Drosophila melanogaster: one gene and its partner. The protein of the gene in region 2 interacts with the protein of the main gene of each other region in a pairwise test. Each region holds a gene or a part of one and is shown on either strand. Other genes may lie near its edges.

The links. The genes of interacting proteins can lie anywhere in the genome.
Region 1: the proteins of CG2930 (region 2) and Taf7 interact in a two-hybrid assay, tested with the Drosophila melanogaster proteins (one large-scale study listed by BioGRID).

The regions. Positions count from the first base shown.
Region 1 is NT_033777.3:7,905,494-7,910,252, reverse strand, and holds Taf7 (TBP-associated factor 7), read right to left. Parts: upstream 2,921-4,759; 5' UTR 2,756-2,920; intron 2,692-2,755; 5' UTR 2,629-2,691; coding exon 2,434-2,628; intron 2,370-2,433; coding exon 1,125-2,369; 3' UTR 532-1,124; downstream 1-531. Other genes in the region: Prat (phosphoribosylamidotransferase), read left to right, coding at 1-284; EMC1 (ER membrane protein complex subunit 1), read left to right, coding at 3,031-3,125, 3,193-3,835, 3,926-4,072, 4,156-4,468, 4,542-4,562.
Region 2 is NC_004354.4:3,874,040-3,879,349, forward strand, and holds CG2930 (uncharacterized protein), read left to right. Parts: upstream 1-1,726; 5' UTR 1,727-1,761; coding exon 1,762-1,795; intron 1,796-1,862; coding exon 1,863-2,203; intron 2,204-2,275; coding exon 2,276-2,354; intron 2,355-2,415; coding exon 2,416-3,419; intron 3,420-3,588; coding exon 3,589-4,578; 3' UTR 4,579-4,778; downstream 4,779-5,310.

The DNA of each region.
Region 1 (4,759 bases), on a different chromosome or scaffold from region 2:
AGGTGCACATCCGCATTGCCAGCCCACCGCTGCAGTACCCATGCTATATGGGTATAAATATTCCAACTCGAGAGGAATTGATTGCCAACAAGCTGAACCCCGACCAACTAGCTAGGCATGTGGGCGCCGACAGTCTGGCTTATCTTAGTGTGGAGGGACTAGTGGAGGCTGTCCAACTAAAGCACCGCGATGCAGGCGATAGTAAATCCAAGGGAACGGGCCACTGCACCGCCTGTCTCACTGGTGAATATCCCGGTGGGCTGCCCGATGAGTTGAGCTGGTGATACCGATTGAAGCTCATAAGTGCCAAAAGACGAAAAAGGCTTTTGGAAACCAGTTTTGCACGCAATTGCCCACTACGAAATAACAAAAATTGCAGTATAAATAGCCATAGAGGGCTCGGAATTACTGTCACAAATTTTGCATTTAGTTTATCTAGCATTACAGCCCACCCATTCCTATTTACACTCTACCTTATTAGATCTTAAGTAAGCAGCCCACGTGCTTCCCCAAGCTAAAAGACACCGATTTATGTCTGGTTTTGCCTCTGGAACTTTACTCATAGTACAAAATACATAACTCTTTGTTGCCCATCTTGAATATCACTAAAATTTGTTGTTTGCAAATGCCAATAATAAAGACACTTAGACTATTGATTAAACAGACTCTATTTTCTCTCTCTAGCTATCGAAGATATGAAATTACGTGCATGATATCGAGCAGTATGCTCCAAGGTCCGAAGGCCAGTTGCTCTGTGCGGCAATGCACCATTTCCTAAGGAGGTCATGGGTTCCACAAGCACTGGAGGCATTCGGATATGATTCTTTTGAATTTTAGATGATTAATTGGTGATAAGTCCACTGCAATAAATACTTAAAAACAGATTCAATTGTCGTGCTCTGTTGCTTTGCAAATAATCATTCTTATCAATACTGAGGAAACACTTTAATTTTACACAAATAATGAGTTGACCAATGATATGGCAAAATTTCTTGTCTAAGGTTTACTTTAACAACAGAAACTGGCGTTGAAGTCGTAAATAGTTTGAAGTAACATCCGAATATGTATGTACATAGTTTTTATTATAACTTATGCTAGTCCACCATTTGTATTATATCTGTATCTTAAGACTCCAGCATATTCTCGAAGTCCTTCAGCTCCAATTCCCTTTCAATAACCTGTGTGTAGAGATTATCAAGCGTTTCCTGCATTCGTTGTTTGAGTGTGGCATTCTGAATGGAAGCAATTTCCGTTGACTTTTGCACCTGCTGCGCTTTCAGTTCACGAATCTGGCGCGTCAGTTGATTGATCTTCTGCTGGACCTGTTGCTGCGTGTACTGCGGCTGCGGTTCGTCTATGAATTCCATGTTCTCGAACTCCTCGCGCTTGGCTAGCATTTGGCTATCGTAGAAGCCACTGGGAGCAGCAAGGTTGGAGCTTGATCCGGCGGCGCTGAGCTTAGGACTGCTGGCTTCATGCCCAAACATAGACTTGCTGAACACGTTCTGCTCCATTTTCACTACGCCCGCTCCAGTATTACTGCCACTAGCGCCAAAGAAGTCCGACATTCGTGAATCATCAGCCGAGAGTCGTGAGGATTCCTCCATCACCCGCCGCTGCATGGTGTTATTGCCCCGATCGGGCTCATCCTCGTCATCCGTGCTGGACACTTCCTCGCCGAAGATGTCGTGGACAGCAACTCCCATGTTCGGCGCCCGGTGTGAGGGAAAGTTGCTGGCTTCGTCATCATCGGACTCCACTTGGAGGTGCCGCTGGGAGCTCATTTCCATGATCGTCTTTTCGCTGGCATGCATGGTGCTTTCGTCCTGCAAATCGTCATCCGCATCGTTGTAGGGTTTGATGTCCGATTGCTCCAGTTCATCCATTGGCTTGTCCTCTTCGTTTATGATTTCATAGTCAACTCTGACAGCCTCGTTGTCAATGCGCAGCAGATGTTTCACTTCCTTCTCAATCTCGGGAGCTTCGACATTCTTTTTCTTCAGAGTTTTGCGGAATCGTCGTTTTCTCACATTCTTGCACGGCGGTGTGATGCCGTGCGGAAAGAGGTATTTTTTGTCCACCTTGTTGGGGTCCTTCTTTTTGTTCTTGTTGGGCGACTCCTTTTCCGTCTCGTCCTCCCGCTCCTCCTTGCAAATGAGTATTTGGCAGATGTCTGCCGACTTGTAGAAGCTCTTGTTGTCAATGGTCTTGTAGCTCTCGACGACGGTGGGCAAATCCACGAGTTTCGTGTACAGTATCTGATCATCTATTCGCACTTCACCGTACCTCAGATCCGGATCCAGTTGGATGGTCAGCCGGTCCTTAATGGTGCCAGCATTTATTGCCTCATGGACCGTGTCCGCCAGTTCCTGCGGAGAATCCGTCAATTTGCACGGCTTGTTGTGATGTTTGTTTGTGCTATGTATGGCTTACCTTCGGCACGCGCATGATAAACTGGCTCTCCAGCTCTACGCCATCATCCCGGGCCTTGTGCTCCGCTTGCTTAACCTTGTCGCTCTTCTTTTCAAACATTTCAATGCGATTTTTCCAGAAAAATACAACTTCTTTTGAAGACACTAAATGCTCATTAGAGATGGGAGTTAGATGGGGCACCGCTAGTGATGGCATTCACGTCACAGTTATCGCTGCGAGCACGACGAATATTTAAAATGGTTCACACTGCAGCCGCATCTGCAGAAATATAAGCCCTGTATACCGCAAAATGGCAAGGCATTTTATTTTTTAATCTTTTTACCAACAAATTTAATCATAAAGGTGAAGACCGAATGGGTTTGCCGTACGTTGAAAGGGGATGAGCCGCACTGCTTTGAATATCGGATGTGAGTCCGCTGAACTATCGATAAGGCAATCGTCAGCCAACCCTGCTCCAATTTCGTCTTCTCATCCCTTTTGCCATGACGGAAAACACGAATTGATGTGGATTTCTACTAATTTATAACATAAAAATACGTCAAAAGTTGAACAATCAGAGATCGAGCTAGTCGAAGGTCAGCAAGCAAGGCGGACGACATGCAGGAGAAGTGGTTACTGCCCGCACTTTCGCTGGCGCTCCTATTGGGCACCTGCTCGGCGCTCTACGAAGACCAGATCAAAAAGTTCGACTGGTGAGTGTGGTACGATATCTGACCATTGACCCGGCGCTAATACGGCGGATATGTGCGGCTTTTGCAGGCGAGGCGTCAATGTGGGAGCACTGAAGCAGTCTCGCGTCGACCTCAACCATTTTCAGCCGCGGATTCTGGTCACCACCTATGAGGGAGTGGTGGCCAGTCTGTGCGTAAAGACCGGCGAATTGGTGTGGCGGCAGGTGCTCGAGCAGAAGCCGCGCGGCGACGTCAAGCTGCTCCAGGTGAGCGGATTCGCCGATGACAGCAGCGACACGGCCGCCGCTCCGATGGGCAGCAACATGGGCTTCGACATGCTCACCGTTCAGGGACACGCTCCTGCTTTGGTGCGCGGCTGGAACACCAATATGGGTGCCCTTGAGTGGGAGTGGTCCATCATGCCCATGAACACGGAGCGGGCCCAGGACGCCATGTGGATCTACAGCAAATCCGTGCTATATCACGTGCTGCCTGCCTGGCGGAGCCACCTCGAGGTGACGGCGTATTTCGCCAGCTCGGGCCACAGCACTGGCAGCACCAGCAAGGTAATAGCTCCTTGGATCACCTCAGAGAGCTGCACCCTTAGCGGCACCTTCTACGTTTGTACGGACGGAAAGCAGTTGATTAGTTTGGATCTCGTTTCCAAAAGCGGTCAAGTAATCCGTACTTCGCTCGAGGCGGAGCCGAAGGGAAAAACTCAGGCCTTGACGGTGAGGAAAAAACTTTGCTATTGCTTTTATTGAAAGTGAAGTAATAGATTGTTGTAAGTGAAGTTATAATTCGTCCAAACATTTCTATAGGGTCTGAATGGTGTTGTGATTGTGGATGGGAAGCCAATTAGTGTCAACAAGGACCAATCGATCTGCGGTGATCTGCGAAGCTCCAGCTTCGCCGTGGGCAGCTTTAACTATCGCAAAGTCTTGGCCTATGCAGATCTGTCCTCTGGAGTACGTTTAAACTTATATTTACTGTTCTATTCTACTATTTCTATGTGAAAACTAATTGTTTCTTTCCCTGTGCGTATGAACAGATCCTCAGGATCAATGCTCTGTATTTGGATAACTGTGCACCGGCAGCGGAGTTGGAGCAGAGTCTGCCATTCCCCGAGCATTTTGGCACTCCGTCGCTGAGCAACTTCGACTGTAAGCAGAAGCGCAATGGCGAGGGCAAGAACTGTCTGTTTTTGTTTAGCAGCACCTCGGAGTCCATCGTGGCAGTGCAGCATGGACGCGTTCGTTGGTCGCGCGAGGAGTCGCTGGCAAATGTGATCGACTCGCAGTTTGTGGATCTACCGCTTGCCGATACTGAGGGCACATTGGAGAACGAGATGAAGGGCAAGGCCGGTGAGTGTACTTGACTTATGCACTACTTTAAGGTGAACTCATAAAATTTATTATTGAAAATTCATACCAAAAGGGGATTTCACAAGTTTTGAGAGTAAGTGAACGTTCACAGCAAACTAATCATGCAATATTGTTTGTTACATGTTTATCACTTTTAATTTTGTGTTTTTTTTTTTAATGTTTATTGAACGTACCACTAATCTAAAAACGAATGTTTACTAACAAATTCAAGCATGCTTCGCTAGTTTAAAGCTAAGTGTATTACTTTTACTTTTTTACTGTCCAATAATT
Region 2 (5,310 bases):
GCCATTTCGTATTTGGTTGCTCCATGCGGAGCAGAACCCGGTCGAATTGGATGGGGCGGTGCCGATATGGGGTCGTAATTGCCGCTTCGAACGGAACAAGACAATCAAAGTTTTGCTCACTACCGAAAACATCGAACTTATCTATCTGACAACTTCCATTGAATAATTCTGTTTCTTTGCCGCCGTAAAAAGCAATTGTAATTAAAACTGGGCCAAAGCGCCAGCTCCTGCGGCGCTTATCATTTCGCTGGACCAATAAACATCGCGCTCGTTCTAATCGCTTGTAAATCAGTTGGAATGCTTTTAGACCCTCTTCATGGCGATTATGTATGTTATTGGGTAGGTGTGAAATTTACAACCTATTTGATGGCCAATCGATGAACAAACCGACGATTATGCGATATCAATGCCGATATGCAATGTCATTAAAGAATCACTCACTACTATATATAGCCAATCCAATTATGTTCATCCGTTCTCGAATTCCAGAAGAATTTCTCTGCATATCACAGTTAGCGATAGTTCAACGCACATCCTAACCACCTATCAATCAATCAATCAATCAATCAATCTATAGGTCCCAGGGCTCTTAGAGCTTAAGTAAAGAAATCTTGAGAAAGTGAAATTGAGAACACTTTCACAGCACTTTCCCTCCGAAACTTTACAACTGCACTCAGGGCATACCAGGCTTATCTAATTATTTATAGGTAAAGCCCTCAGTGTACTCATTTTTCAATTAGCTTGTTGAAAATTACGGAGTATCAGCGACTCCGATTGGTCTACGGCTTTTATGGAGCCCAATCGAGTGGATTGAGTGGAGATCCGTCTGGAGATCAATTTTCCGTCCTTCGGTGACACTTGGCCAGTTCCCTGGCACTAAACACTACGCTATTAGCGGCTGCAAAATGAATGAATGAATGAGTGGTTTTGAGTGTGAATGTGAGTGGCAGGCCTGGTCTACCAACTTCAAACGGCCACCGAAGCGGGTCAATGCTGTACACGTCTGGTACTTGTATATTTTGTATATCTCTGTTTCCCTGCGATAAGGCGCTTTATGTTAATGGATGTTTGATGTGAAGTGTAGTGCGTGCAATAGCATTGTTTCCACGGTTTATGGAGCCATGTGATGGCTGCTATACATTACTGCCTCAAATAGCGGTCATAAACGCTGATAAAGCATCGATGGATTAGCTGCGAACCGATTCTGGATCGCAGTTAGATAAGGCCCATTCATTGGTCGCCATTCGGGACTTTCGCAGTTCGCAGTTCGCTTCCTGAATCATCAACCATCGAACAGATACAGATCCAGTTGTCCGAACATGGCCATGACCATGACTAGCTGCACTAGGCACCAGCTGCAATTACCATTCGATCCACATGGACATGACCATTAAAGCTCCAGCAGACATTTAGACGCAGCATTGTCAGTAATCAGCATGTTGTTTATGGCGTGGAAAGCCATACTCCCAGCCAGTTTGTCAAAGTGTGGAGGCGATCGCCGAGAGAGCTATCTTCCCTAGCTGGGTTATCTGACGCCCGCCACTGGCGTAAACCTCGTAAAAGCTCGGGGCCTAAGGCTGGATAATTTATGCCGGGCCACCGAATTCACACGCCCGCCGTTGAAGTAAAGGCCCGTTCAAATATAGAACAGTCCTTATCTGTGGCGGAGGTGTCAAGCACAAGGCCACAAGTCTCGGTTTCGGTTTCTGATGAAATGTCGCCGATCCTCAGATCACTAACGAATCTCAGTGGCCATATGAAATGGAGCTGCCGGCGGAGCAAGTACCCCTGCTGGGTGGGCTCTCCAAGTTTTCGATTATTGCATTTCGAATTACTAACCTGGATCCTTCTTTCGTCCGCAGAAATACAGCCAGCGGCTGAGCCTGTGGCTGAACCAGAGCCTTCTCCCGCGGCCGAAATAGCTCCTGCAAGTCCCGATGGCTCCGGTCCAAGTGCTGCCGCTGCAGAAGAAGTCACCCCGAGTGTTGCGACCGTTGAAGACACTACCCCGATTGCAGCCCCTGCAGAGAGTCAACCGTCCGGCGAGAGCAACGGCACGGCGGAGGCCAAGAAGCTGCCCGAGATCGCTAAAAAGAATGGCAAGGAGCCCGACCAGAATGACAAGGAGCCCGACCAGAATGGCAAGGAACTGGCAGAGACCAATGACTTCAAGAACGTCTCCGAGACTGAGGGTCAGCAGAAGGTAATCGTCATTGGTGCTCTTTAACAAGTATTGAAGCAAACACTGTACTTACCTTTTCATTGACACCCACAGAAACTGCCCTACCCCAAGTCCGTGTTCTTCATCATCAGTAACGAATTCTGCGAACGTTTCAACTATTACGGCATGAGGAGTAAGTTAATCGCAAAGTATCTTACAATGAAATCTCTGCTAATCGCTCGTACTCCATTCAGCTGTTTTGGTTCTGTATCTGAGTCGAGTTCTGGGCTATTCTGATGATACCGCCACCGTGGTCTTCCATATCTTCACCATGTTCGTGTACTTCCTGTGCGTTTTTGGAGCCATCATTTCGGACTCTTGGCTGGGAAAATTCAAGACTATCCTGTATTTATCGCTGGTTTATATATGCGGATCGGTGCTGCTGACCCTAGGTGCCATTGGACCACTTAACCTGCCCATGGAAACGTTTACGATGTTGGGCCTGGCGTTAATTGCCCTTGGTTCAGGCGGCATTAAGCCGTGTGTGTCGGCATTCGGTGGCGATCAGTTTAAGGTGCCGGAGCAGGTGAAGCAGATCACTTCGTTCTTCTCGCTCTTTTACTTTTCGATCAATGCCGGATCGCTGATCTCCACCACGGTGACTCCAATATTGCGCGAGGACGTGTCCTGCTTTGACGACATTAACTGCTATCCATTGGCCTTTGGAGTACCGGCCGTACTTATGATTGTGTCGGTGATCATCTTCGTTTTGGGACGATCCCTGTACAAGATGAAGCCACCGGCCGGAAATATGGTGGTGCTTGTGAGCAGTACCATCTGGACAGCCCTGACCACCAAATGTAAGGAGAAAAAGACCAATCCGCGGGAGCACTGGCTGGACTATGCCGATAAAAAGTACGACCGCCAGTTGATTGACGATGTAAAGGTCCTTATGCGAGTCCTCTTCCTCTACCTGCCACTTCCGGTCTTCTGGGCACTGTTTGATCAGCAGGGCTCCCGTTGGACCTTCCAGGCCACCCGAATGGACGGCGACATGGGCTCCTGGGACATCAAGCCCGACCAGTTGCAAGTGCTCAATCCTCTGCTCATCCTAATCTTTATACCGTTGTACGATGTGGCCCTCTATCCGGCCCTGAAACTAGTGGGTATCCGACGACCGCTGCAGAAACTCACCATGGGCGGCATCCTTGCGGGCATTGCTTTCATCATTTCCGGAGTGGTGGAGCTTAGCTTGGAGGTGAGTAATTGTTCGAAAATGCTTGTTGGCTTGGGACTTAAAGCTCTGAAAGTATTTAATTGGGAAGTTTTAAAGTATTTTTAACTGCTGTGCTTATATATATTGTATTGTACTGTACCTGCACCTGCACTTTCCGTTTTTCTTTCGTTGCACGCCTTGCTGTCGTTAGAAAACCTATCCCGACCTGCCCTACAGCCAGAACATCCAACTGCGCATCTTCAACGCGGACAACTGCGACTACTTCTTCACTTCGAACATTCCGGGAGCGGAAAATGTGACGGTGACCTCGTTGAATGCCTATACCAACAAGGATATTTACGCACCCGGTTCGCTGGACGTGGAGTTCTCGCTCAGCAGTGCAAGTGAAGCTTGTACCATTAGCGCTGACAAAATACCTAAAGTCCTTACTGATAATACGGCTTGGTCTCTGTTCCTCAATCCGCTAAATGGTAGTGGATACTACTGGGAGGAGGATTTTGTGGACAAGCCGAGCCAGAGCCATCCGCTGATCCGAAACGTCGCTAATGTGCCGCAGGAGCTGTCAATTCGTTGGGAAAAGGCTAGCACGGGAGAGGTGGTCTATGACGACCTGGCTAGCAAAACGTTGCTCACGCGTGTGAATTCGGCGGAGTATGTAGTCATGGTGGGCGAAAGGAACGTCGGAACATTCGATGTTCACACCGGCGGCGTGTACACACTCCTGATTAAAGATAACAACAACATTTACGAGGCCAATTTGGAGGAAGTGACGAGCCCCAACTCGGTAAAGATCCTTTGGCTGGTGCCGCAGTACGTGGTGATGACCCTCGGCGAGGTGATGTTCTCGGTGACGGGACTGGAGTTCTCATACGCCCAGGCACCACCCAGCATGAAGAGTGTCCTGCAGGCCTGTTGGCTGCTAACGGTGGCCTTCGGCAACGTCATTGTGGTCGTCATCGCCGAGGCCGCCTTATTCGAATCGCAGGCCAGCGAGTTCTTCCTGTTCGCCGGCCTCATGTTCGCCGACATGTTGATCTTCATGGTGATGGCCTACTACTATGTGCCCAACGATCCGAACAAGGTGGAGGAGGCCCAGCCCCTGACGGCGGGTGATGCCAAAACAGAGATTCCCGCTCTCGAAGGCGGAGTCGAGAACAAGGGCAAGGACATCAACGAGTAGACCTCAAACCGATTCGTCCTGCTTGCTCCCGCGTTGTGTATTATATATATATATATTTGTACTTGTAGATGTGTATATGTATGTAAATCCTTAGTGGCCTTTGTCCATTTCCAAGCTAAGTGTAAGTGAAGCTGCGACCGGGCATTGTTGCATATGAAAAGACATCCAACTAGTTAATCTAATAAAAGAAAATTAATAATATAATCCGTCGTTGTTACTATTCTTGTTGTCTCTCTATCTGCTTTAATACTCTTAATTGTTTCTTTTCACCTATGACCTGGATTTTACTCAGTATGATAGTCTTATACGATATCATTCCGGAGATTTCTGGTATTGCTCCGATCTAATATATTAGTACCAGCTTGCACGTATATCTTCCACCCTTGCAGCACACTTACCCATTGATCCCGAGCAGTGGTAATACCCAGCTACGCGTCTTCAGCGGTATTCCCGACTGCGATTATCGCTTTAGTACGAACCTCGGAGCCCGGGAGAGCTTCACCTTAAGGGGGCTGGACTTCTACTATTCGGGTAGCGTGGCCACGAACACCGACGGCATCTTCCAGTTAACATACACCGTGGAAAGTTTAACTGAAGGTATGTTACCACGTTATCGCGATCCTCCTATTCAAGAGAACTTGTTGATGTAAGAACTCGTGAATATGTTTAAAGCCCACCATCCTCTTTGGAGCGTTAAGCTGTCAACACAAATAGAATCACTTCAGTGGTCAC